Arabidopsis thaliana: one gene and its partner. The protein of the gene in region 1 purifies or fractionates together with the protein of each later gene. This does not show direct contact. Each region holds a gene or a part of one and is shown on either strand. Other genes may lie near its edges.

What was found.
Region 2: the proteins of AT1G31220 (region 1) and KELP fractionate together in Arabidopsis thaliana (co-fractionation; one large-scale study listed by BioGRID). This does not show direct contact.

Annotation. Positions count from the first base shown.
Region 1 is NC_003070.9:11,149,342-11,162,005, forward strand, and holds AT1G31220 (Formyl transferase), read left to right. Parts: upstream 1-7,356; 5' UTR 7,357-7,722; coding exon 7,723-8,068; intron 8,069-8,242; coding exon 8,243-8,357; intron 8,358-8,463; coding exon 8,464-8,640; intron 8,641-8,739; coding exon 8,740-8,866; intron 8,867-8,953; coding exon 8,954-9,067; 3' UTR 9,068-9,342; downstream 9,343-12,664. Other genes in the region: AK-HSDH I (aspartate kinase-homoserine dehydrogenase i), read right to left, coding at 9,403-9,648, 9,745-9,837, 9,912-9,995, 10,080-10,215, 10,320-10,465, 10,599-10,824, 10,905-10,987, 11,073-11,267 and 6 more.
Region 2 is NC_003075.7:6,693,220-6,705,883, reverse strand, and holds KELP (transcriptional coactivator p15 (PC4) family protein (KELP)), read left to right. Parts: upstream 1-6,684; 5' UTR 6,685-6,780; coding exon 6,781-7,080; intron 7,081-7,258; coding exon 7,259-7,364; intron 7,365-7,898; coding exon 7,899-7,990; 3' UTR 7,991-8,025; exon of another isoform or gene 8,026-8,210; intron 8,211-8,428; exon of another isoform or gene 8,429-8,540; coding exon of another isoform or gene 8,541-8,951; 3' UTR 8,952-9,172; downstream 9,173-12,664. Other genes in the region: AT4G10930 (RING/U-box protein), read left to right, coding at 1-389, 476-706; AT4G10925 (Nuclear transport factor 2 (NTF2) family protein), read left to right, coding at 1,601-1,849, 2,018-2,214, 2,648-2,897; AT4G10910 (uncharacterized protein), read right to left, coding at 8,541-8,951; AT4G10895 (Plant self-incompatibility protein S1 family), read left to right, coding at 11,174-11,419, 11,706-11,885. UniProt on the Arabidopsis thaliana protein: General coactivator that functions cooperatively with TAFs and mediates functional interactions between upstream activators and the general transcriptional machinery. Binds single-stranded DNA.

The DNA of each region.
Region 1 (12,664 bases):
CATATAACAGTAAATAGAGTATTTTTCCATCTTGATGACACACAAATAATGAGGGGTCCGATTTACTGCAGACAAATCCATAATCAAGAAGAAAGTTGCTGAAAGTATCAAACCATGCCCGTGGCGCTTGTTTCAAACCGTAGATGGCTTTCGTGAGACGACAGACATGAGTGGGTTTCTGAGGATCAATAAAACCTGAGGGTTGGTACATGAAGACCGGTTCTTGCAGCTCACCGTGTAAGAAGGCATTGGAGACATCAAGCTGCTTAATAGGCCAACCTTTTGATGTTGAGACATCAAGAACAAGACGAATTGTTGCTGTCCGAACCACAGGACTGAACGTTTCTAGATAGTCCACCCCTTCCTCTTGATCGAAGCCCTTAGCCACTAGACGAGCTTTCAGTTTATCGATTGAGCCATCCGGGTGAAGTTTGGTTTTAAAAACCCACTTGGAGCTTAGAATATTCATATCATCAGTTGGAGGAACCAACGACCATGTATGCAACATATGGACCCGGTTAATCTCCTCATGTACTGCTTCATTCCAACCAGGATGCTTCATAGCGGATGCAAGGGTTTTTGGTTCAGCAGTATTCATTCGAGAGGTGATGAGAGCATACCTCGTGTTTGGCTTTTGAATTCCTGCCTTTGATCTTGTGGTCATTGCATGAGAATTGATTACTTGTTCTTGATTTGCAGCAATCTCTTCTGCTACTGGATTCACTTCTTCATCACTTCCTTCATTATTAGAGGTAGGTTCAGGATCTGTCAGTTGTTCTGTAACTTGAGATCCTGCATATGTATTAAGATCAATCGGTTTAGAAAACAATTGGACTGGAGCTGCAGGTACTGAAATCTCACTGATCTTGTTATGTTGCCAAGCTTGAAGAAGAGGTGTTGAGTACTGAGGGACTAGAGATTGATACTTTTCCTTGAATGGTAGTTCAGACTCATTGAAGATAACATTTCTTGAGATATAGACCTTGCCTGTTGGAGGGTAAAAACAGCGATATCCCTTATATTGGCTGTTATATCCAAGGAACACACATTGCAAGGAGCGCGGATCGAATTTGTTTTGAGCGAGAGGTCTGAGACAAGGATAACATGCTGAACCAAACACACGGAGAGATGAATAGTCTGGCTTTTCCCCAAATAACGCTTCATATGGACTCAAATTCTTCAAGACAGAGGATGGTAAGCGATTAATGATGTAATTGGCAGTGAAGAAGGATTCTACCCAAAACTTCTGAGGTGTATGACTATGAAAGAGCATAGACAATCCAAGCTCCACAAGATGTCTATGTTTTCGTTCGGCCAATCCGTTTTGCTGTGGGGTATAGGGGCATGAGATTCGATGATGGATGCCATGCTCACTGAGATGTGTTTTTAACTTGTTGCTCACAAACTCTCCTCCTCCATCACTCTGAAATACTTTGATCTTAGTGTTTAGCTGGTTCTCTACCAACTTCTGAAACGAAATAAAAACTGAGAGAAATTCTGACTTGTTGTGCAAAGGATAGAACCAAGAGTATCTTGAATAATCATCAACAAAAATAGCATAATATTTGAGGCCTTGGTTGGATACAACTGGAGAAGGACCCCATAAATCACAATGAATCCGATCTAGAGGATGTAAAACACGAGAATCTGAAATTAAAAATGGTAGTCTTGAACTTTTCCCCATCTGGCAAGGTTCACAAACTGGAGATGTTCTGCTCTTATTTATCTGAATCGCCTTGCTGTTTTGAAGGTGCTGGAGAGCCTTAGAATTTGCGTGTCCAAGTCGGTGATGCCATACTTCCTCTGTTGCTGCACACTGACGGTTTGAATAAAGAGCCACAAACTCTTGATTCTCCAACACATAGAGCCCATTTCTACGAGGACCCGTGGTTACCACTTTCTGTGTTTGTAAATCGATTATGCAAACCTTATTAGCATCAAAGTAAACACCGCAAGGATAGTCATCACACAACTTTGACACAGAGAGAAGAGATTTTTGTATATTTGGAACAACCAAGACTTCATTTAAAGGAATCTTACCATTTGAGGATTTGATAGTGGTAGATCCAGTGTGAGTAATCGGGAGATAAGTGCCATCGCCAACCAAGACAGCATCATCCCCTTCGTACTCTGTTGCAGACTGAAGTCCATTGGTCGATGATGTTACGTGAGCCGTCGCAGCTGAGTCGGGATGCCATTCCTTGCCTGTATCATCTGAGACCCGGAGAGTAGAAAAAGCTTGTATTTCAGCCTGGTAATTGTTATCAAACCGATTGTAACACTTGAGAGCAGTGTGACCAGTGCGACCACATATCTGACACACCGGTCTTGGACCTGAAACTTGTGGGGAGGATTGATGTTGGGAAAACCCTCGTCCACGAGTTGAGTAGCCTCCTCTGCCTTTATTTTGACCAGAACGTCCTCTTCCTTTTTGATTGGGGTTGTATTGAGGAGATCCAGACTCAGATCTTTCAATGTTGAAGGCAAGGTGAGGAGTAACAGATGCCGCTTCTTCATATGATTGTAGCTTACTGTCAAAGCCTTGAACTTCTGAGACAACATCATTGAAAGTTGGAGTCGGAAGCTTGCTGAGAGAGCTTTGAATCACCGTGGTGATGGGGTCATAGTCACGACCAAGACCGTTAAGAAAACCAAAAATTTTCATTGATTCATCGACTGGCTTGCCAATGGAGCTGAGAGCGTCGCAGATGGTCTTGAACTCTCGGCAGTAGACAGAGAAAGGCTTTTCCTTTTTGGAGAGAAGCTGGAGATTCTGACGAAGTGAGAACTCACGAGCAACACTGCTTTTGTTGAAGTTTTCAGCTAGAGACACCCAAATTTGACGAGAGGTGCTTAGATTGTGAACATGACCAAGGACTTCTTCAGACAACGTGCCAAAGAGCCATGACCGAACTAACTGATCGGTACAGAACCAAGATTCATACAGAGGATTGGGTTCCTCGGAGGTGACTTCGCCATTGACGACAAGGCGAGACTGAGATGGTGCATTGACGGCGCCATTAACAAAACCTATGAGTTTTTGACTCGATAGGAGAGACTCGAATTGAGTTTTCCACAAGAGGTAGTTACTGTCTGTGAGTTTGAGAGTAACAGAACTTGTAACATGAACATTATCTGGAAAAGGGTATGAGGTCGCCATTTGAAATACCTGTTAAGGCTACAAAGGCTCTGATACCATGAAACGATTAGAGAAAGTTTCAAGCTTTTGGTAAAAAAATCGTTTCTTTCTCAATAATTACATTAGGGTTTTACACTACTCTTTTATAGACATTGTAGAAGGAGGTAGATATGGAACAGTCTAGAATATGGCAGATGCTGTGTAGCTGGCTATGGTGAGTCATCAGGCAAAACGCCCCTCCTCTGTACGATCGTTGCTCTGTTTTGAGCTGGAGTCTATTTTGTCTTCTTCTATTTGACTGGGCTGAGATGGGCCTTTTGTTGTTGTTGGGCCGGTTACTTGTTTGTTGCTCACAATTGCCATTTTCTTATTTACAAACAATGTAACTAGGGTGTATGTCGTTTATATTTGTCTTAGTTATTTGTTTTTGATTTGCAAATCTCTAAATTCTATCAATCTGTTTTTTTTTTCTTCTAATTTTCAATATTTTTTCTATGAGTAAATTATTATATCAACTGTTTCTAAAAATTATCTAATCATGGTATGTCTTAGTTATTTGCTTTTAGATTGAATTACATATTAATTAGATAACAAAAATGGTATCGAACTTCCACCATTGGTTCAAAAAGAAGGTACCACTACAAAAAAATTAATATGCTTAACATAATTTACTTATTAAGTTAGCCCTTTTTAAAAGTGAAATTCTAATTATATAATTGCTTGTAAAATTAAGGGTTTTGTGCAAAAAAAACTAAAAGTTGTTCTTTTTTGTAACTTTACCCTTCACGTCAAAAAAATGTAAAATTATCATATGAAATCTAAAATAATATACAATATAGCTTTTCTAATTGTTAATTTTTAAAATTTTGATAAATAATATATGTACATTATGTGATTATGAAAACGTTTATAGTATATGTAAAGTTAAGAAAAATGGGTTATATATTATTGCATATTATTTTGGATTTCATATATTTATTTTGTATTTTTTAGACGTAGAAGGTAAAATTACAAAAATAGAAGAGTTTGAGAGGGTTTTTTTTTACACACCCCTATATATAATAACACTAGATATTGACCCTCGGTACACCGCGGGTTGATTATTTGCGTTAGAAATTAAATTATTATTTTTATTTAATATTATCCATATTTAATATCAAGTTATATTTTGAATTCATCATTTTACATTTTATATCTATTTACTTTTGATGTTATATTAGTATTTGTTTGGTTTGATGTTGTTTAGTTTAGAAAAATCTTTTTATTATACACATCATTTATATAGAGTGTGTATTTTATGGTACGTAATTATGTGTTTGTTATATAATACTTTTTTTTGTTAAAAGTAAAAGTATTATAACTACCTAAAATGTATATGTAGATATGGATATGACCCGCGGTACACTGCGAGTTAATTTTTTTATGACAAAATTTAAGTTGTAATTGTTTTATTAATATTGTTTGTTTGTTTTTCTTAAATTGTATTTTGATTGTTAGTTCTAGAATTTCACCCACTGTATACCGTCTATATTAATATAGACCAAAACCCGTCCTACCGTATAACAATTTTCCGTATAATTGTATAATTTTTTTTTTTTTTTTTTTAATTATATTCCTGTATAATTATATTTTGATTGTTTATTTTAGGATTTCACCCATGTTATACATCTTGTATTAATATCGACCAACCCGTGCTACCATATAATATGTCCCGTCAAATTGAACACCATATTTTTTTTTTTTTTTTTTTTGAAGATTAGCTGAAGATATAACATATTAATTTGGTTTTTTTTTTGAAGATTAGCTGAAGATATAACATATTAATTTGTCTTATTTAAATATAGATATATATCTATGTATTATTTAGTGTATGATTAGTATTGTTTAGGTTTCAATATTTAAAATTTAGATACGAAACATACAGTTCATTAAGTAACGATGTAGCAGATTTTAAAAATTGATTTTTTTTGGTTTTAGGATTTTAGTATGAAAATATTAAAAGTATATAGGAAATGGTATGTACGTGAAATAAAGAATTATTTGTTTTTTTTTTGTTCCATATATACTAAATATTATTAAAAATCTGTATAATATCTTGTATTTAAAATTTAAAATCTAAATAATTAGTGCATTATTCTAGCTGAGATTGATCCGCAATATACGACGGGCTGTTTCTTAAAAATTTTTGTTATTTATAAACTTATGATTTTGTTGTATATAAAATTAACCAATTTATTGTGTATGATTTTTAATTCGATGTAACTCTTATATTTAAAGTATAGTATTATTTAGCTTTATTATGGCTGAATATTTATATGAATATGTTTTTGACCTGATCCATCAAAATCAAGAGGTTTTAACCCCCATGGCAAATATTTAGTTTTTGTACTTTAGATTTTAAAAATAAAATTTAATATATGATTATTATTTTTAGATCAAAGTAAATATAGTAATTTTAGGTTCTATTTTATAGTCAAAGTTCTAAACCATTCACGTTTGTTTAACTATTATTTTATTTTTTTCAACGAAAAAACTTTATTGAATAAAGATTATTAGGTCCGATCATAATACAACATATCATAAATCTAAATCAAAGGACTCAAACAATCCGAGAAAAACATAGAATCTATCTAACCTTTTTCTGCCAACAAATGAGCTAACTGATTACACGATATTTTAGTAAAAGAGAAAAAGATATTTCTAAACTTGGTTGCCCAAAAGTGAATATTTTTGCGTAAGGCTTCGGTAATGAAGTCCACCGTAAGAACCTTGATGATGTTGATGAGCGCTTCAGAGTCTCTATTTTTGATAAATTGATGTATAGCAGTCAGACCACACTTGATGCATTGACATTAGTAGAGCTTTAGCTTCAGCTTCCGGTGGGGTACGTACGGCTCCCCATCTTTTTGCTTCACCTTGACATGTATATTTAATTTTTTACTTACATAAACTTCTTTACAAAATAAAAAAAAACAGAACCGCAAATACAACAAAATTAAACACACGTATATATACACACAAACGTTCATATATGAATATCTAAATAGTTTGGAACAATAATACACAGGTCGTTACCAAAAAGAAAAAAGAAATACACAATTCTCAAGTATTGTGTTCTTTAATACAGAAATCAACATCAATACATTGACATCACATTCATAAAGAAGGGTAATACGTACAAAAAAATAAAAAAAAAATAAAAAGAATGCCCATGATGTGTGTGTTTGATAATGTGATGGGAGATAAACATATGTAGTATATATAGGCTTGGAATGATTAGGTCAATATTTTGGTGAGCAAGCAAAATTAATTTGCGATCTTAACTAAAATGGAATCAAATATACGTAATTAGAATATTTTAGGTATATGCTATAAATGCGATTTGTCATAATAATTAAAATTTTCTATAAAATCTTATGTATAAATATTTTGTAGTGTATAGCAATTAGTTATGTCGAGATATTTTAGAAAGATTTTTCCGAGAATATTGGCAAAGATTTGGGAAATAATTTGATGTGGTAAGATTATGATATTGTGAGGCACTAATATTCCTTAAAATCAAGTATATGCTTATTTTAAATAAATAGAAATGTAGATATGAGTAGTTGATAAAAAATCAAATTGTTGATATTCTCATATATTTCGAAATGAATGTATATTATTGATAATAGTGGAAAGTTTTAATGGCAATTGTTTAGCGTTAATCGTTTTGTATTATACATTTTTGGATTTACTAATCAAACCGGAATTATTGTTGTAATTGATAACAAAAGAATAAATTTTGGTAAGATTTCATTAGCATTTAAAACTATAATGATTTCCGAATCTAAGTAATTATAGATATGGTTAGTTAGGATTTAGTATCAAATTTAGTAATTAGGAATTAATGATTTGCGAATTACGTAGAGTTTATAGGGATTGATTTGTGCAATTTATTAGGGTAATAATTAACAATATCTATGTTTAGGCAAGTAGTTAGTGCAATATCATAATAGTTAAACAAAAGTTTGGTCATTGTCCTAAATAAAATATCTTGTTTGATTGATTTTATAGGGACTAAACATACAATATCAAAATTGAAAAAGAATTTTTCTACACAAATCGTTCCAAAAATGTATATGTAGATTCTTAATATAAACAACAATTATTCACTTGGCCCTAATTAAACCATCAGCCCATTAAGCCTCTTATTACCAAAACCCTTCAAACCCAACTTCTTTCCTTCTTGTTGACTTTCCTTCTTACTCTGTCGTTGACTCTCTTTGCGACTTCTTCTTCTCTTTTCTTCATCTTCTTCTCCCTGATTCCTTTTTCTTTTGTTGCAGGACTAAAATCCCAACACCTCCCTCCTGAGTTCTTTGATTAAATCCCCAATTTCAATTTTAGGGTTTTGATTCCCATTGTTTCTTTTGATTTATCTTCATTCCGGAAATTGCTCCGGTGAAACAGCAGCCACCGCCACATCTTTCTCCTTCTCCGGCAAGCAACTTCATTCCGGATTTTCGTCTGAGACTTCATTCTTGTCTCCCTCTTCGACCAAACTGACACTTATTCCGACAAAACCCTCTGATTAGACCGTCGGAATGGAATCACGGGTTTTGTTCTCTAGTCAATTCAACTTCCCGGTGAATTCACCGTTTAAGACCCGTGAAACCTCGATTGCTCCGCTCACACCTTCCCGGAATGTTCTCTCCTTCTCTTTCCGTAGTCCCGCAGAGAGATGTGCGATGAGGATTGTACCGCTTGTAAAAGCTGCTTCGTCTACTCCACAGATAGTAGCGGAGGTCGATGGTTCGTCTCACGAACCAAGAAGGAAGAAGCTTGCTGTGTTTGTGTCGGGAGGTGGTTCAAATTTCAGGAAGATTCATGAGGGATGCAGTGATGGTTCTGTTAATGGTGATGTTGTTTTGTTGGTCACTAACAAAAAAGGTATCACCTTTCTTCTTCTTCTTCTTCAAGTTATTTGATTTTGGTCTTCTAAGTTGCAATTATAGTTTCTATGTTGTGGTTCTTAGAGTTAATGAATCAGAAAAGAACTGCTAATATATGATTGATTAGTTAGTGGAATTTGAATAGCTTACTTGCTTAATTTCATCAATTTAGATTGTGGAGGTGCTGAGTATGCAAGAAGTAATGGAATTCCTGTTTTAGTATTCCCAAAAGCGAAACGAGAACCATCTGATGGACTCTCTCCTTCAGAACTTGTAGATGTACTAAGGTTAGCATATCTCTTGGAAGTCTTTATTTGTATCTTTACCCTTGGAAGTGAATGTGTTTACCTCTTTGTTGAAAGTTCACTATATGTCTCTCAACTTGATGAACAGGAAATATGGTGTAGACTTTGTTCTTTTAGCTGGATATTTGAAACTTATACCGGTCGAGCTGGTCCAAGCTTTTCCTAAACGGATTCTAAATATTCATCCTGCTCTTCTTCCGGCTTTCGGAGGCAAAGGTCTTTATGGTATAAAAGTGCATAAAGCTGTTCTAGAATCGGGAGCTAGGTAAAGTTTCAAGCTCATATAATGTTATGGATGTGTAGTGTAGTTTCTTTTTTCCCTTTTCTTGTGCAAGAAAACATTCAACGGTTTTTCTTTCCGTAGATATTCGGGTCCGACAATTCACTTCGTCAATGAGGAGTACGATACAGGTCGGATACTTGCTCAAAGTGCAGTCCGTGTGATTGCTAATGATACACCAGAAGAATTGGCCAAAAGGGTTCTTCATGAGGTACTACTAAAGAATATCTTTGAACATTACATTTCACTGTTCAGAAGATTTCATTTTCTTCTTTTCTTTTTTCCATCTTGGACTCAGGAACACAAACTGTATGTCGAGGTGGTGGGTGCGATTTGCGAAGAGCGGATTAAATGGAGAGAAGACGGTGTCCCTCTCATTCAAAACAAACAAAACCCTGACGAGTACTATTAGATTCTCAACAAATGAAGTTATTCATTGGATGTTAGATTAGTCACATTTTCAAAACAAAGTGTTTCAACATAGGTTATGTAGAAGAAGTTTTTTTGCCCGAAGTATAGATTGAGACATGTTTCTGATACTAAATTTTGTTTCGGTTGGGTCAGAATCATATGGAAGGAGATGAAATTCGAGTCAGGAGACAGCATTTTAATGCTTGTGTTGTATAATACCAACAGTCTTTATTCAATTTTTTCCTAGAATGTTTTATTACCTTGAAGTTTGGTATCATCTATAGAAATCAAAATCTCTGAAATCCAAAATACATATGCTAGCATGTAGAGTGTGCTTTAAGACGGAGCCCCGAGATAGAAAGCAAGGCGAAGAATGTCACTGAAGATTCCACCGGCTGTGACTTGAGCACCAGCACCAGGTCCACGAACAATCAGAGGCTGTTCTTTGTACCGTTTGGTTGTGAAAGCGATGATGTTATCAGCACCCGATAGCTGAGCAAACGGATGATCTTTTTTGTACCGTTTCAACTCGACTGTTCCCTTTTTCTCTACTGCATCTACAACTCCTACGTATCTCAAGACCTAAACAAAGACACAACGCAACAAAATCTGAAATGAGTTCTTTTCAAGACGGCGCATTTGGTGTTAAAAAAGTTTTGCCAAGGAGGTATTACTTACTTCTCCTGCTGCTTCAGCCTCTTCTCTTTGTTTGGATAATTCTTCATCAAACTGAGGAAGCTTCTCCATGAACTCTTCTGCTGATGCACAAGCCTGTGAATAAGAAATGTCAAAAGGATTAACCTTATTGTTGATGAATTTAATTGTGTGATTATACAGAGTCTTACTTGTAACGGCTTTGGCACAAGATTCTGGACTGGAAGGCCCTCAAGATCCAATTTTAAGCCTGATTCTCTGGCAAGGATTGTTACCTGCAGAAGTAGCAGATACGAGAAGGTTCAATATTTTTTTACAAGGTGCATTGGCTCGATTTGTTGACAGGAAAAAAACCTTACTTTTCTGGCAACATCTGTTCCAGATAGATCATCTCGTGGATCTGGTTCTGTGAAACCTGCTTGCTTTGCTTCTGCTACAACTTCACTGAAGCTTCTGGTGCCGACAAAGTTGTTGAAGAGGTAACTTAAAGTACCACTGCAGAGAGGCATCAAAGCAAATTTTAGTGTGAAGGTGCAAAGCAAGGCCATTGTTGTGTTATCTGAAAAAATTACTGTGGTACCAAGACGAAGAGGAGATACCTGAAAATTCCCTCAATTCGCAGTATTTTATCCCCTGTTTCGAGGAGACCACGTAAGGTGCTAATAATTGGAAGACCAGCTCCAACGGTGGCTTCATAAAAGTAATGTGTGTACGATTTTCGTTGAAGATCTCTGATCTTTAGATACTGCATTTACAGGAGTGTTACCAATTAGTCTCTCTGTTCATAAAATCACAGAATCTTAATGGATATATATCAAGATGAACATATATGTAGCTCCCGATCCAACAGTCATTTAAACAAATATCAAACACTTTACCTGATCAAGTGGTCCAGAGTTAGCCTTTTTGTTCGGAGTGACCACATGAATTCCTCGTAGCAACCAGTCGTAGTAACAGCTAGCGATGTCAGCATCGGCTGTACAATCAACCATAACAGAGTTTGGGATGAAATGATTTCCCTTCACATATTGGGTGAACTTCTCCATGTCAGCTTTTTCTCCCTCTTCTTTCATAAGCTCTCTCCATCTTGATAAGTCAATCCCCCTAAAAAGATGACGATTGTGTAAAGATTACAGCAGTAGAAACTTCACCAAAAAGGTAATGTATCAGGTTCGTTGGCTTACGATTCACTCATCAACATTTTACTTGAGCCCGTGATCCCTATAACACGCAAGTCAATTTTAAATTCTTCTTTGAGCACTGCCGCCTGTGAAAGGAAATTTAAAGATGATGCAGCTTGAACATTGATCCATATTTTACTATAATCTCGCATATAAGTATCACATACTCACCTGATCTCTAATCTGATCAAGTAAGGTTCCACCAATTAATCCCGGTCCTATGATTCCCACTGCCAAAGTGGTTCTCGAAAGGTAAAATCTTGAGTGCACAGCTCTTAATGCCCTGATGCAGTCTTCACGCTTGACGACTACTGTAATATTGAACTCGGAGCAACCTTGGGCTATAGCACGGATGTTGATATTGGCCTGCAGTTATTTAGGTATGGCAAATGGCAATGTATCAGCAGAGCTTCTAAGCAGAAAAAAGGATATGAAATGTATGATGAACCGTCATCTGATTTTCTTTGCAAACACTACACTTAACTTACCTTTGCTAATGCATTAAAAAAAGTGGCAGAAACACCAGGAGTGCTCGCCATTTTCTGGCCAACTGCTGCTAATATGCTACAATTAGGGATGATTTCAATCTGAATGAAAACAATGAAACCATAGTTTGAGAAAAATAGTAGATGCCAAAATAATAGTCCAGTTGATTTGCTAAGAGAATAGCTATTTGATATCTTTCGAAGAACAAAGAGAGATATAAAGGCACCTGGGAAAGGCGGCCACCAGCCAAAGCTTGACGAAATCTTGAGTTCAATGCTTCAGAAACAGCTTTCACTTCCTTCTCAGGTACAGCAAAGCACACAGAATGCTCGCTACTAGCCTGCATTTTATGTAATTATATTAAGAAGTTACATTTGACAAGGGAATACATAACTGATGAAAGAAATTATAAAGCTGAACTAAATAACCTGCGATATCATAATCACATTGGCTCCAACTTCCTTGACAGCAGAAAAAATGGCACTGGCAGTACCAGGAACACCAGCCATTCCAGTTCTATAAAGAATATGCAAAGTTTGTATAAGAAATACAATAAGCAGCCGAGTGTGTAATACAATATCCACTATCAGCTCACCCTTCTACATTGACAAGAGCCAAATTGTCAATCGTCGCAAATCCTTTCACAGGAGCGTCTAATTTGAATCCATCTTCATCATCAATCTGCCGGCATATCATTGTTCCAGGGGCAGAGAGGTTGAAAATATTCCTTATTACAATTGGAATGTCATATTTCATCACTGGAATAATGGTCCGAGGATGTAAAACGTTTGCCCCAAAGTAAGACTGCGCAGGCATATGAACATGAATGTTAGGTGTAAACAACGATTCTGGAAAACTAGGCATTAAACAAGTGCAAGAGGTTGGAAATTTACCATTTCCCAAGCCTCTTGATAAGAAAGAGTCTTCAGCACAACAGCTTCACTAACTGCACCGCACAAATTCATTAGCATAACACAGACAAACATGATGAGGAACACACACATATCATGGCTCAATAACTAGTCCTAGCTATATGGCAGTTAATGTAGGCTTGCACATACCTTTCCTGGGATCTGCACTGTACACACCATCAACATCTGTCCAGATTGTGAGTTGGTGAGATCTAAACAGAGCACTCATTATAGCTGCAGAGAAGTCACTCCCATCCCTTTTAAGAGTCGTTGGAATGTTCTGTGGTGTACTGGCTATGAAACCAGTTGCTATAATAATCTTTGCCGAGTTCTGAGTAAACCATTTTTCCAGTCTTTTTTCTGATT
Region 2 (12,664 bases), on another chromosome or scaffold:
AAGAAGATGGAAAGAGCTTTGTTCCTATGGAGCTTGTACCTGAGGCTGAGGGAGAAGGAGAAGGAGAAGGAGAAGGAGAAGGAGAAGGAGAAGGGGGAGGTGAGATCCTTTCTGTAGCTGAATGTGAAGAACTATACGGACCTGGTACAGAGAAACTAGTTGAAAGACCTCTCATCGAAGGATTTGCTGAGAATGGTGTTAAAGCTAAAGCCCCTGATTCAGAGTGCGAGAGCAACACACAGAGAGAGTTCATCGCTTCAAACTTTGAAATCACTTGCATTCAAGAGAAAAAACTTCCCAGAAGCATTCAAAAGTGCAAACCAAGCGAAAAGCCGTCTAAAGAGGAAAAAGGCAAAGCTGATGGCTTTGGTAACTCCATCACCAAGAAGGTACTAAAAACTGTAAAAGTCTCTGTCATGTCAAAATTCTCATTCCCTTTGTCTTCACTCTTCAATGGTTTTATTGTTTTCGTCAGGTGGAAGCATACATCAAAGAACATATTAGACCACTGTGCAAGAGCGGAGTGATAAACGTGGAACAATACAGATGGGCAGTGACTAAAACCACAGAAAAAGTGATGAAGTATCATAGCAAAGCCAAGAGTGCTAACTTCTTGATCAAAGAAGGAGACAAGATCAAGAAACTTGCCGAGCAATACGTCGAAACCGCTTCCTCTGGAGCTCACCACAAGGATAAGTGCAAGTGAGAAAATCAGATGGCGTAAATAAGAAGATGAAGTAACAAGTAGTTCAGTACAAAAACGTAAATAGATTTTAACTAGTATCTCTCTTTTGTCTTCTCCACGGGTTTTGGAAACTGAGTCTTCTTCTCTTAGGGCGAGAGAAGCAATTCTTGTTGTACCCCGAACCAGATAGACCTAAACTGTGTCTGAAACTGAGATTTACTTGGTCGCTGACAGGTTTTTGAAAAAATATTTAGAGATGAAAATGATATATTTATTATTAGTTACATACTTTTTCGTCACTGTGATTATTAAACTGAACTAGTAAACTTAAAAGCTAAATGTAAAAGAAGATGATGATAGTTTGTTTGGGTCAAAGGCTCAAAGCAATGAAATTCTTAAAATGCCTATTGGGCCTAACCTGACGCATTTCTTTATATTTTTGAAAATTGTTAAACGACGACGGATCTGTTTTCTATAGTGACTCTGACGCACTTGGATAAACATACATGTGCAATGACTATAATACCCTTGAAACTTGAGGCTATTTCCTACAGTGACACATTTTGATAAACATTTGCGATGGTCAGTTACGGAGTTGGAGACAAAAGAGCTTCTGAATCTCTCTCTCTTCTGCGTCTCGCCAAATTTATTTCCCGATTCAATTTGTAGGGTTTCTGCAGAAGAAGGAAACCACCATTAAACCCTAAGTACGTCACCTTTCAAGCTCCTTCTTCTGTAGGTTTTTTCTGTTCTTCTGATTCATGTTTACAAAGTTTTTTTTATGTCTCTTCTAACTTCTTCTCCTTCTCGCCGCGTAATCAGTCCTTATTGTTCTTCATAATCGCAGTACCAATCGCAATCGTTTTCTTCCTCTCTCGATCTGTTCCTCGGACGAGAAAACTGGACAACAAACCTATGCCGTCGACGCCGCTGGCTAACGGTGGTACGCCTCCTATGGGTGGCGGAGAGAGAACGACGGTTACAACTTCCACGGTGGCGGATGATAAGCCTGGAGTTTCGATGATGGAGCAGTTGGTTCCGGAAATTACGACACACGCGCTTAGTTACTTGGATTATCCCAGTCTCTGTCGCTTATCCATGACTAATTCCTTGATGAGGAAAGCTGCTAATGATGATAATGCTTGGAAAGCTCTTTATCACAAGGTAATTAGATTCACTAATCACTCATTTGTATTAGCTTTGTGTATTGGAAATTCAGAAATGATTCTAGGTTAAAAGATGTGTATTCTTAGCAGTTTCTGGATTAGTGTGTGTTTTCGTGAATGGTGCTATTTTGTTTAATGCTTCTCTTACTTTTTTCTCATGTGTTAGGATTTTACTCTGGAGCAAGATGGTATAACACCAGTCAATGGGTGGAAAGAGTACTATGCAACTACTAGAGCGATTATTAGTGTGAATACGGAATTCTTCACCATCATTAGAGACAGAGCGCTTCAAGCGATGGCTCGGTTGTGGTTGAACTCGGACTATGTCAAGTGTATCCATGCCTCTGGCGAACTCTTCTCCGGGTAACAACTCCACATTTCACCCCCTTTTGTCATTCTAATGTGTACCTAGCATGTTCTTTAACGGTTTTGGGTATGTTTCTATGGTCTTAGCTATGAGATGGTATCTGAGTTTGAGTATACTAGCGGAACAATGCTCTTGTGCAGTTCCTCGTGATACAAGATGTTAAGAGTATTGTATGATTTAGTAAAAACGTTTAAGCAAAAAAGTTATAGCAATAAGATAACAGAGTTAACAGTAGTATATCCACAGCAGCTCTGATAGAATTTGGATTCTTTCAGCACCTTCCATTGTTTGAGTCTACTCCACACAGTTTTATTCTTATGCATCTTTGTTCTAGATTTGGCCATCTTCAAATAGGCTAAATACATCTTTGTGGATTTCATTAAAAGAAATCGGTATGAATCATCTATGTTTTCCCTTCTTGAATTGCAGGTACAATGAAGTGATACAAAGCTGGCAACTTTGTTTCAATTGGGAACAAGGGTTTGACTTTCAGGTCCACACGGTTCGCACTCGGATACTAACAGACATGGCTTGGGTCACCATGAAGGCATACCTGAACGTGGATGGTGGTCCATTCCTAATAACCAATGTGTTCGAGTTCCACAATGGAAGGTGGCACATGGTTCATCATCACAGCTCAGTGATGCTCATCGATGATCAACAAGTTGTTGTTCATTGATGAATGATGATAATATCTTTTAGTTTTGGTTTCCTTCTCTTCTTTTATTTTCATGGGGACAACAAATAAAGAAGAAGAAAGAAACTGCATATTGGAGAAATTGGCTTATTAGATTTTTAGTGGTTATTATTTAGTTTTAACTACATGTACTGAATGTTCTATTTTTTTTTTTTTCTCAGTTGCTGTTGAATGGTTGGTCTAATTATTACTTTTTCCTAATTTCTATTTGGTTTTTGGAATTGAATCAATGGTTTTAATCTAGTAAGTAGAAAGGAAACGCTGGCGTCAATGTCATAGATGCACACAATCCTCTGATGAGAGCTCTTAATGTGGCATAGAGGATCTTATTGAATGACGACCCAAATTGCAACTTAATTAAGAGTTTTCACTTTCCATGACTGGGACATTGTAAGATAAAGGAGTCGTAGGTTGCATCTCTATCCGATGAGCCTCGCTCACTATATAGTGAGTGGTAATGTGCTGTAACTGCAAAGCACTTGGACTAATACTGAGTATGAACAAAGATCAAACAAAAACTTTAATTAAACCTTTGAAGGTCTTTTAGTGAGACTTAAAGAGCTTCAGATTATTATTACCCCATGACGAGTCTTGAGATAAGGAAGCTAGTTTCTCCATGATACATGAATGTATTCCGTATGTGAACTGATGATACGATGGATAAATCGTTAATAAGAATGCGGTTGTTCCGCAATTGTGGAAGAAAAAAAGAAAGTGAATCTGAGGGTTGAAAGAGAAGTACCAAAATCCAGAAGAAGAAAGCAATATGAATTCAGAAAGAGAATGAAATGGATGATTTGGTTGTAGAAATAAGGTTTTGGTCGTATGTATTTTTAAAAAAGAATTATTATTAGTAAATTGTATTTATGTTATATTATATTATTCACAAATATCAATTTAATATATATTTTAAAAATAATGTACTTATAGAAAAACTTGTACTTATAGCCAAAATAGTTAAAAATTATATTTTTTAGGCTGTGAGAAAAAATAAGAAAAGTACAACATGATTGTAGTTTTTTAGTGTCTTTATAAATTTCCTACACCCCAACCAATCAATCATACTCGGTGTCTTGAAGAAAACATAAAAAATATTTATAGGAAGACATGTAACTGAAGATGCGTGTTTTAAGTCATAATTTTTTTTTTTTTTGAAAGACACCCAACAATTCACTAATGGAGGTTGTCTAAAAAGAATAACCAAGAAAATGGTCTCTGAACCCATCTCTAAAACTATTTTATAATGTGTATATGTAACAGTAAGAAGTGAAAAAAAAAATCCATATATCAATTAAGGTGTTAAAAAAAAAAGTCCATATATCAATCACTTTTCTAACATCGTCGATCATTGTGACGAAAATCGCTTACGTCTGTACCGTATTAACGTAATGCCATCAAACGAAAAAGTTTGCTCACTCACTCCGGTTTAGATCTTTGTTAACATAAGCAAACTTTTCAGAGAGTGAACTAATAGATTCACGAAACGACACCGTAATTAGTATCGAAAACTTGACTGACATCAGCCTAAGAAAAATATCGCAAATTGTTATAAAATATTAAACTTAAGAAGAAAAATGAAAATATAATAGAGTTTACTTAAAAAAAAATAATGGGTTAGCTGATTTTATACCCATAAACTAATTGCATTCTCAGCTTTTTCCCCCACACTTTTTGGCTCTTAAATTTCTACCATAAACTTTGATAATTCTTTAAATTACAACATGTACTTTCGGATTCATCCTTAAACATACATTTCCAATTGAACCGGTCATTAAACCAGGATTAACCACAAATCCGCGTTTACTGTACCACGATGCGATTTACCCGATTAATCACCTCTATCCGTTAAGAAAAGGGTTGGCTGATTTTATAGCCATAAACTAATTGCATTCTCTGCTTTCCCCCTCACACTTTTTGCTCCTGAAATTTCCACCATAAACTTCGATAATTCTTAAAATTGCAACATATACTTTCAGATTCATCCTTAAAAATATGTTTCCAATTGATTTAGATTGTCATTGGAACAATCTTCAACCTCTTTTGTCTATTTTGGATGATGTATTTTCGGAAGTTGATTCTCTTTAAGATGATATTATTTAGGTTGACTAATTGATTTGGAGTCTTATCTATCCTTATGATTAGGAGTTTTATCTAGTTCGATTTGTCATTTTCCTTACCAATTAACACAACACATAACATATATAGATAGATTCACATTATAAAACAAAGAGAAAACGATGTCGTTTTCTTAACGGGTGTGGGATTAGTCGGGTAAATCACAATAGCGGTACACTAAACGCGGATTTATGGTTAATCTCGGTTTAACAATCTAAATCAATTGGAAACATATTTTTAAGGATGAATCTGAAAGTACATGTTGCAATTTTAAGAATTATCGAAGTTTATGGTGGAAATTTCAGGAGCAAAAAGTATGGGTGAAAAGCAGAGAATGCAATTAGTTTATGGCTATAAAATCAGCCAACCTTTTTCTTAACGGATATGGTGATTAATCGGGTAAATCGCAATCGTGGTACAGTAAACGCGGATTTGTGGTTAATTCCGGTTTAAAGACCGGTTCAATTGGAAATGTATGTTTAAGGATGAATCCGAAAGTACATGTTGTAATTTAAAGAATTATCAAAGTTTATGGTGAAAAATTAAGAGCCAAAAAGTGTGGGGAAAAAGCTGAGAATGCAATTAGTTTATGGGTATAAAATCAGCCAACCCAAAAATAATAGAATTAACAAGAAAGTAAGAGACTTAAGGAAAGAGTAATAGATAAAAATAAGCATTATCCATATTTTATAGATAGAAATGAGCGATGGATTACCACCACGCTTATACGATTGCGATAATTACATCTATACTTATCCAGTTTTACAGAAAAAATAATAGATAAAAATAAGCATTATCCATATTTTATAGATAGAAATGAGCGATGGATTACCAGCACGCGTATACGATTGCGATAATCACATCCATACTTATCGAGTTTTAAGGAAAAAGTAATAGATAAAAATAAGCATTATCCATATTTTATAGATAGAAATGAGCGATGGATTACCACCACGCTTATACGATTGCGATAATCACATCCATACTTATCTAGTTTTAAGGAAAAAATAATAGATAAAGATAAGCATTATCCATATTTAATAGATAGAAATGAGCGATGGATTACCACCACGCTTATACGATTGCGATAATCACATCCATACTTATCTAGTTATAAGGAAAAAATAATAGATAAAGATAAGCATTATCCATATTCAATAGATAGAAATGAGCGATGAATTACCACCACGTTTATACGATTGCGATAATCACATCCATATTTATCTAGTTTTAAGGAAAAAATAATAGATAAAGATAAACATTATCCATATTTTATAGATAGAAATGAGCGATGGATTACCACCACGCTTATACGATTGCGATAATTACATCTATACTTATCCAGTTTTACAGAAAATATAATAGATAAAAATAAGCATTATCCATATTTTATAGATAGAAATGAGCGATGAATTACCACCACGTTTATACGATTGCGATAATCACATCCATACTTATCGAATTTTAAGGAGAAAATAATAGATAAAAATAAACATTATCCATATTTTATAGATAAAAATGAGCGATGGATTACCACCACGCTTATACGATTGCGATAATTACATCCATATTTATTCAATTTTAAAGAAAATATAATAGATAAACATAAGCATTATCCATTTTTATAAATAGAAATGAGCGATGGATTACCACCACGCTTATACGATTGCGATAATTTCATCTATACTTATCGGGTTTATAACACCGATAATCCGATTTGGTCAAAATCCGGCGGAGAAAAACCCTAAAAATGGAGAAAGAGACGAAGGAGAAGATCGAGAAAACTGTGATAGAGATACTCAGTGAATCGGATATGAAAGAGATAACAGAGTTCAAGGTTCGTAAACTCGCTTCGGAGAAACTCGCAATCGATCTCTCGGAGAAATCTCACAAAGCATTTGTACGAAGCGTCGTGGAGAAATTCCTCGACGAAGAGAGAGCGAGAGAATATGAAAACTCACAAGTGAATAAGGAAGAAGAAGATGGAGATAAGGATTGTGGTAAAGGAAACAAAGAGTTTGATGATGACGGCGATCTTATCATTTGCAGGGTTTGATTTCATTGCTTTTTCTCGAATTCGATTACTGATTTTGCTTGAAATAGGATTGATTTTGATTTGTATGTGGTCTCGTAGAGAAGCTAATAGTGTTATCTCTGAAGCAGAGATTGTGAATTAGTGAATGTTGTGTGTTCTGAATTTGGAATGTTGTTGTTGTTGTTGTTGTTAGTTATCGGATAAGAGAAGAGTGACGATTCAGGAATTTAAAGGGAAGAGTTTGGTTTCTATCAGAGAGTATTACAAGAAAGATGGCAAAGAACTTCCTACTTCTAAAGGTACTTTAAAGCTCTCTTTGTTCTATCACAATTTTTCAGAAATTGTAGAGCCAAATTCTGTGTTTATGTGCAAATGTTTCTTTCAAGTTCCACTTTAGAGTTGCATCAAAGTGATTTTCGTTCACAATTCGAAATTTGGAGTCAATGATGATTCAGAGTTGTTATTGTTTTGGGTGTGTTAAGTTTCAGTTTTGTATATTAAGTAAAAAGCTTTGGTGATTACAAACCATTTTGGCCGAAAAGTTGTTGACTTGAATGATTCTTTCAGTTTATGGTAGTTTAGTTTAACCTAGCACTTAAGCTTGTTCTGTATTACATCTTTGAATTTGTGCAAGTCCTGATATTTTGTGTAAAAGTCATTAAATAGTTTCTGTTTTATCTACTTTGAGAATAGTTATTTGGGTTTGAATATAGTTCATCTTTTCTTCTCTATAGATAAAAAAAAAAGGGACAACCATTTTACTCAAAATGGACCATATTGAGAATATTTTTGATTCATGTCTGGTCTCTGATATGTTATAATGTTATCTCCAGGAATAAGCTTAACAGATGAACAATGGTCAACCTTCAAGAAAAACATGCCAGCCATCGAAAATGCTGTCAAGAAAATGGAATCGCGTGTCTGAATGAAGAACATGTGATACTTTATCTCTAAACATGTGTAAGTGTCTTCTTAAGTAGTTAGTTGTTCGAATGTTCAGGTCTCTCATGTAACTGTCTTTTTTATTTTCTTCTCTCGAATTGGTCGTTATGTGTCTCGTACTGAGTTGTATCCATTTCGCTTTAACCGATTCCAAAAACTCTGGACCAAAGTACAAAACCATCTGATCCGGTTTCAAATTTCAATCTTTTGCATTTGAACAAACCGTAACCGAAACTAAACAAACCCCAAAAAAGTAATCCTGCTAAAACCTAATATTTTTTAAATATTTTCTCAAAAACCAGATCAGACTGAAACACAGACTGTGTCAAACAGAACCAAATGTATTAATTTTTTCCTCAGTTGGTTTCTATATTTCACAAAACATAAACTTCGAAAACCGAGTTAGATACACTCTTTATATAACAAGATATTTTTTTCATTTATCAAATGTTTGTGCTATATACACTTTTTGCTAGGATTACAAATAAGCCACATAAAAAAAACGCAATCATCGAACCTAACAGAAGTAGTTCTCATTGTCTTTTTCGGGACTTGGACAATAAACTTTTAACTCTGACCATCTCAGAGGCGGAGGTTGAAGAAACTAAAGCTTCTGCTGCAGCAAACCGGAGCTGATCAATCAAAGCGTGTGTATTGCCTTCAACTGCCAAAATCTCTTCAAGCTGCTTACTTCCGATCACCACTTTCGCTTTCCAAACTCCATTTCTTCTTTGCGGCGACACTTGTATCCTTGGCCCAAGTACTCCTCTAGGGCTTGTTGTACCTTGTCTAACAAGATACCCTAGTGTTTTCTCCCTTGTTATTGGCAACGAGCTACATCTCCGGCTTCTGTAATACTCTTCCAGGATGTTTCTTGAATTTGTCGCAATTACGGTAACCGAACCACCACCATCAGATACTGCTCTTTGCGAACAATTCCCCATCTTCACAGCAACTAAAAATGAAGAAAAAATAAGAAAGAAACAGAGAGTTTAAAACTAAATTTTGAGTTTGATTTGATTGTTTTTGGTTCAAGATAGGTTTATAAATACTAAAGAGAGAGTAACTCTCAGACAAGGATTGATCAAACAGTCTCTTTGTTGTCTCTTAATCTCACTACTTGCATGTGATACTCCGCGCTGTGCATAATACTATTACCTTATCCTCATCCTTTATAACTCATTTTTTTTCTAATTTTTTTCTTTTTTTGTTCTCTTGCGTTCTAGATAAAATTCTTATAAAAAATGCCAGCAATATAGCAAATATTTCAACTGAATATCTTCGGGGATAGACTATAAGTGATTTTTTATATTGTACTTATAGAAACACACATATATACAAACTATAATATGTACAAAAACATATCATATATACAAACTATAATATGTACAAAAACATATCATAAAACAAGAAATATGTATGTATGTATGTATGAATACATAATGACATATAGATAATATGACCCGTGGCCCGTGGGGATGAACCAATAATTTGGTTGATTTTCATTTATTAGTTTTGGAATCGCACTATGCAATAACTAAGCTATTACATTAGGAACATCATTATTATTTTATTTTTTTCAACTTATGGATAATTTTATTGTAGGACTATTTGGGTTAGTAGGGAAGGAAGGAATATCAAATCCCGTGACCATATTAATTTTTATAGGCATATCATTAACCAATTATCATTTTCATATTAAATCATTCACGGGTTAATATGCATATCATTAACCAACTATTTGGAGTTCGTAACATATTTTAGAAAACGAAAAAAAGAAAAGAAGAGCCCAACCAGGTTCACACCGGTGACCTCTAAATTTGCAGTCAAATAGTCTACCACTGAGCTATGAGCTCTTTCAAATTTTATTATTTAATTAATTTGAAATCAAAGTATAATTTTTAATGGACTTTATATCTTTGGGTTTGTTATTTTACCTCTCTGTTAATTTTTGAATCATAGAAATTTTTGAATTACAGATGTTTGAAATCTCCAATATAATTTACAAATGTTTTAAGTACTATAACATAGTTATAAGAAGTATGCGGCGATTTGGGGGTGAATTTTTTTTGTTGGGTTTTCTGGAGATAAATAATAGGTTTTGGAAAGTAATTAGCTTATTAGCCCGGTCACACTATTAATTAGAGGATTAGATGTGAGAATGTGTGTAAGAGAAAAAAATGTGTGAGACTGTGAGTGGGTGTAAAAAGTGGGCATGTGAAATGATGATTGAAACAAATGTAAAAATAGAAGGGACATGTCAAGATTTTATTGATAGTCCGAATAATTCATAATAACTATAATTCTAAATCTACTGTAAACATTTAGTTTATTTTTTTTTAAAATTAAAACTTACTAACTATCCAAAAAACCTTTTCACTAAACAATATTTTTGTTGTCTACTATTTTATTCAAAAGATAAGTTTTTATTGCCTTTGCATTATTGAAACAATGATAGTGATGAACGTATTAAGGCATAATTTTATGTATAACATTATGATATATTACGATCATAAGTTATAACTTCAGTTACATTTCTATAATTTAATTTGATATTTTTGTCTTTTGAACATGTGATAATTACTTAAACCATATGAAATGTGCTTAATAATGGTGAGTGTTAGACTCAATGTTGTGCCAAATGAGATGGTTTTTAACTTGGTTCATCATTTTTTGTTTAATTCGATTATTTTCTTTCAATTTAATATTCAAGGATAATGCATTTTTCTAGAGTGGATAGCAAATTGTCTTTCTGAATATCTCTATATTTCAATTCATGAATAAAGTTGACTATGTGAACAAATAATTCAAAAAAAATATACTGATTTGTACATTAGATATGCTGGTTTCATAACAAAGAAAATATAAAAAAACAAAAATAATTGACAAATAAAGGATTACAACATAAATTAAAAAAATAATCTAAATGTGTTAATGAAATTTAATTTTGCAAGTAAATTTATGCAAGATTTGTTTGTTTGTTTCCATTAGTTTACATATTTTAAAGAAAAATATATAAAAAAAATAAATGATAGGATATAACTAACCATATAAGAGAGAACAAAAGTAATGAAATTAAATACATCAACAAATGTGACATATTATATTATATATATATGTGTGGAATTCATGTTAAAGACAAATACATGTTGAAAGAAAAAAAACAATGATAGAAAAATTTATAATATATTTTGCCTTGTTCGCCTTTTTAATCCAAAGAACAGACTCTATTCTTACATTTAGACGTTTTAACATTGAAATTTCAAATCAACTTGGGGGTAACAATAAACTTATGGTCCAGTGTAGATCTGGTCAGGAATCGACCCGAGTTGTTTTTCTTGCATTCAGTGATGTGTTCAAAGCTCCTTTAAGAATTGGGTTTAAGACATTGATATGGTGCACCTTATGGAAGGTAATTTAAAAAAAATAAAAGAGAAATCTTTCACGTTCTTAAATCTGAATGTATATATTTACAGTAAATTTGTTATCTTGTCCATACATTGGTGAATAAATTGTTTTACTTTTATGGACGGGAAAAAATTTTGTTGGTCAAAAATCTTCTACTCTACAAATGGATTGGTTTGGAGCATCTACAATAACTATTGAAACCTCTAATGTTTATATGATCTTTAATCGTTCTATAATTATGTTTTTATTTGGAAAAAAGTTGTGATCATCTTTGTTAATATATCTTTCAGGGACCTGATTTTAAGCATCATGTAAGTTTTGACGCATTTGTTGGGAAAGAGAGTTTTATACATGATGTATGTGGGAGTATGAAGCCTAACATATGTTTCTGGCAAGTGCAAGATGATGGAGTATGGGCACGTAATAATCCAACCGGAGCTCTCAAGTTAATGTATAAATGGAATAAATAAACGAACCAAATATTAGCTCTTTCGTTTATCTTTGTTAAAAATATTGTTACTGCTTTTACCGAGATCTCATAAAACAGATCACTTTTTACAAATTTCTCCTATTATGACTAACATCAAATTATATCTTTTCGTATGAAAAGCCCGTCAAGATTTGTAACATCAAATAACTGAATTTGAAGGTTTTCTTCGAAGTCTAGAGTAAACTTAATTCACCTAAAGATTCAAATGTTTAAAATGTTTAGAGAATTCAACTATATATATCAACCACAAAGATAACAATCCCATGATTTGAAAGTAAACAAATTAAAGAGAGACGCTCAATTACGAGGACGAGTGTTCTCAGGAGTACCACCGACGCCTGACATAACTTTAGCGACATCACCTGCTGAAGCTTCAGGCTTCTTCTTGCTGTACAACACCACATAGCCAATTCCACCGATTATCACCGCTCCAACCGCTGCCGCTCTCAACGGACATATCCCTAACGACTTCCGCTGGCCTAGCACTTCACTTGACTGCTTTGCTGCTTGTGCCGGTCCTGCCATTTCCCTTCTTTGCCTATGTATATGTATGTATCTTTCTATTAAAGTAAACTTATCTATCTCTCTCAAAAGTTAACTTCTTCAACTGCTTTTGTGTTTGTTGAAAATTTGGAATATTTGTAGAAGAGATTTGTGGTTATTATGGTTAACCCGCACTCGTAGGACATGCTAAAGACTCGCTCCTTCGCTACATCTTATTTCTAGCTTTATCTATATTTAGCTTCATAATAAAAATGT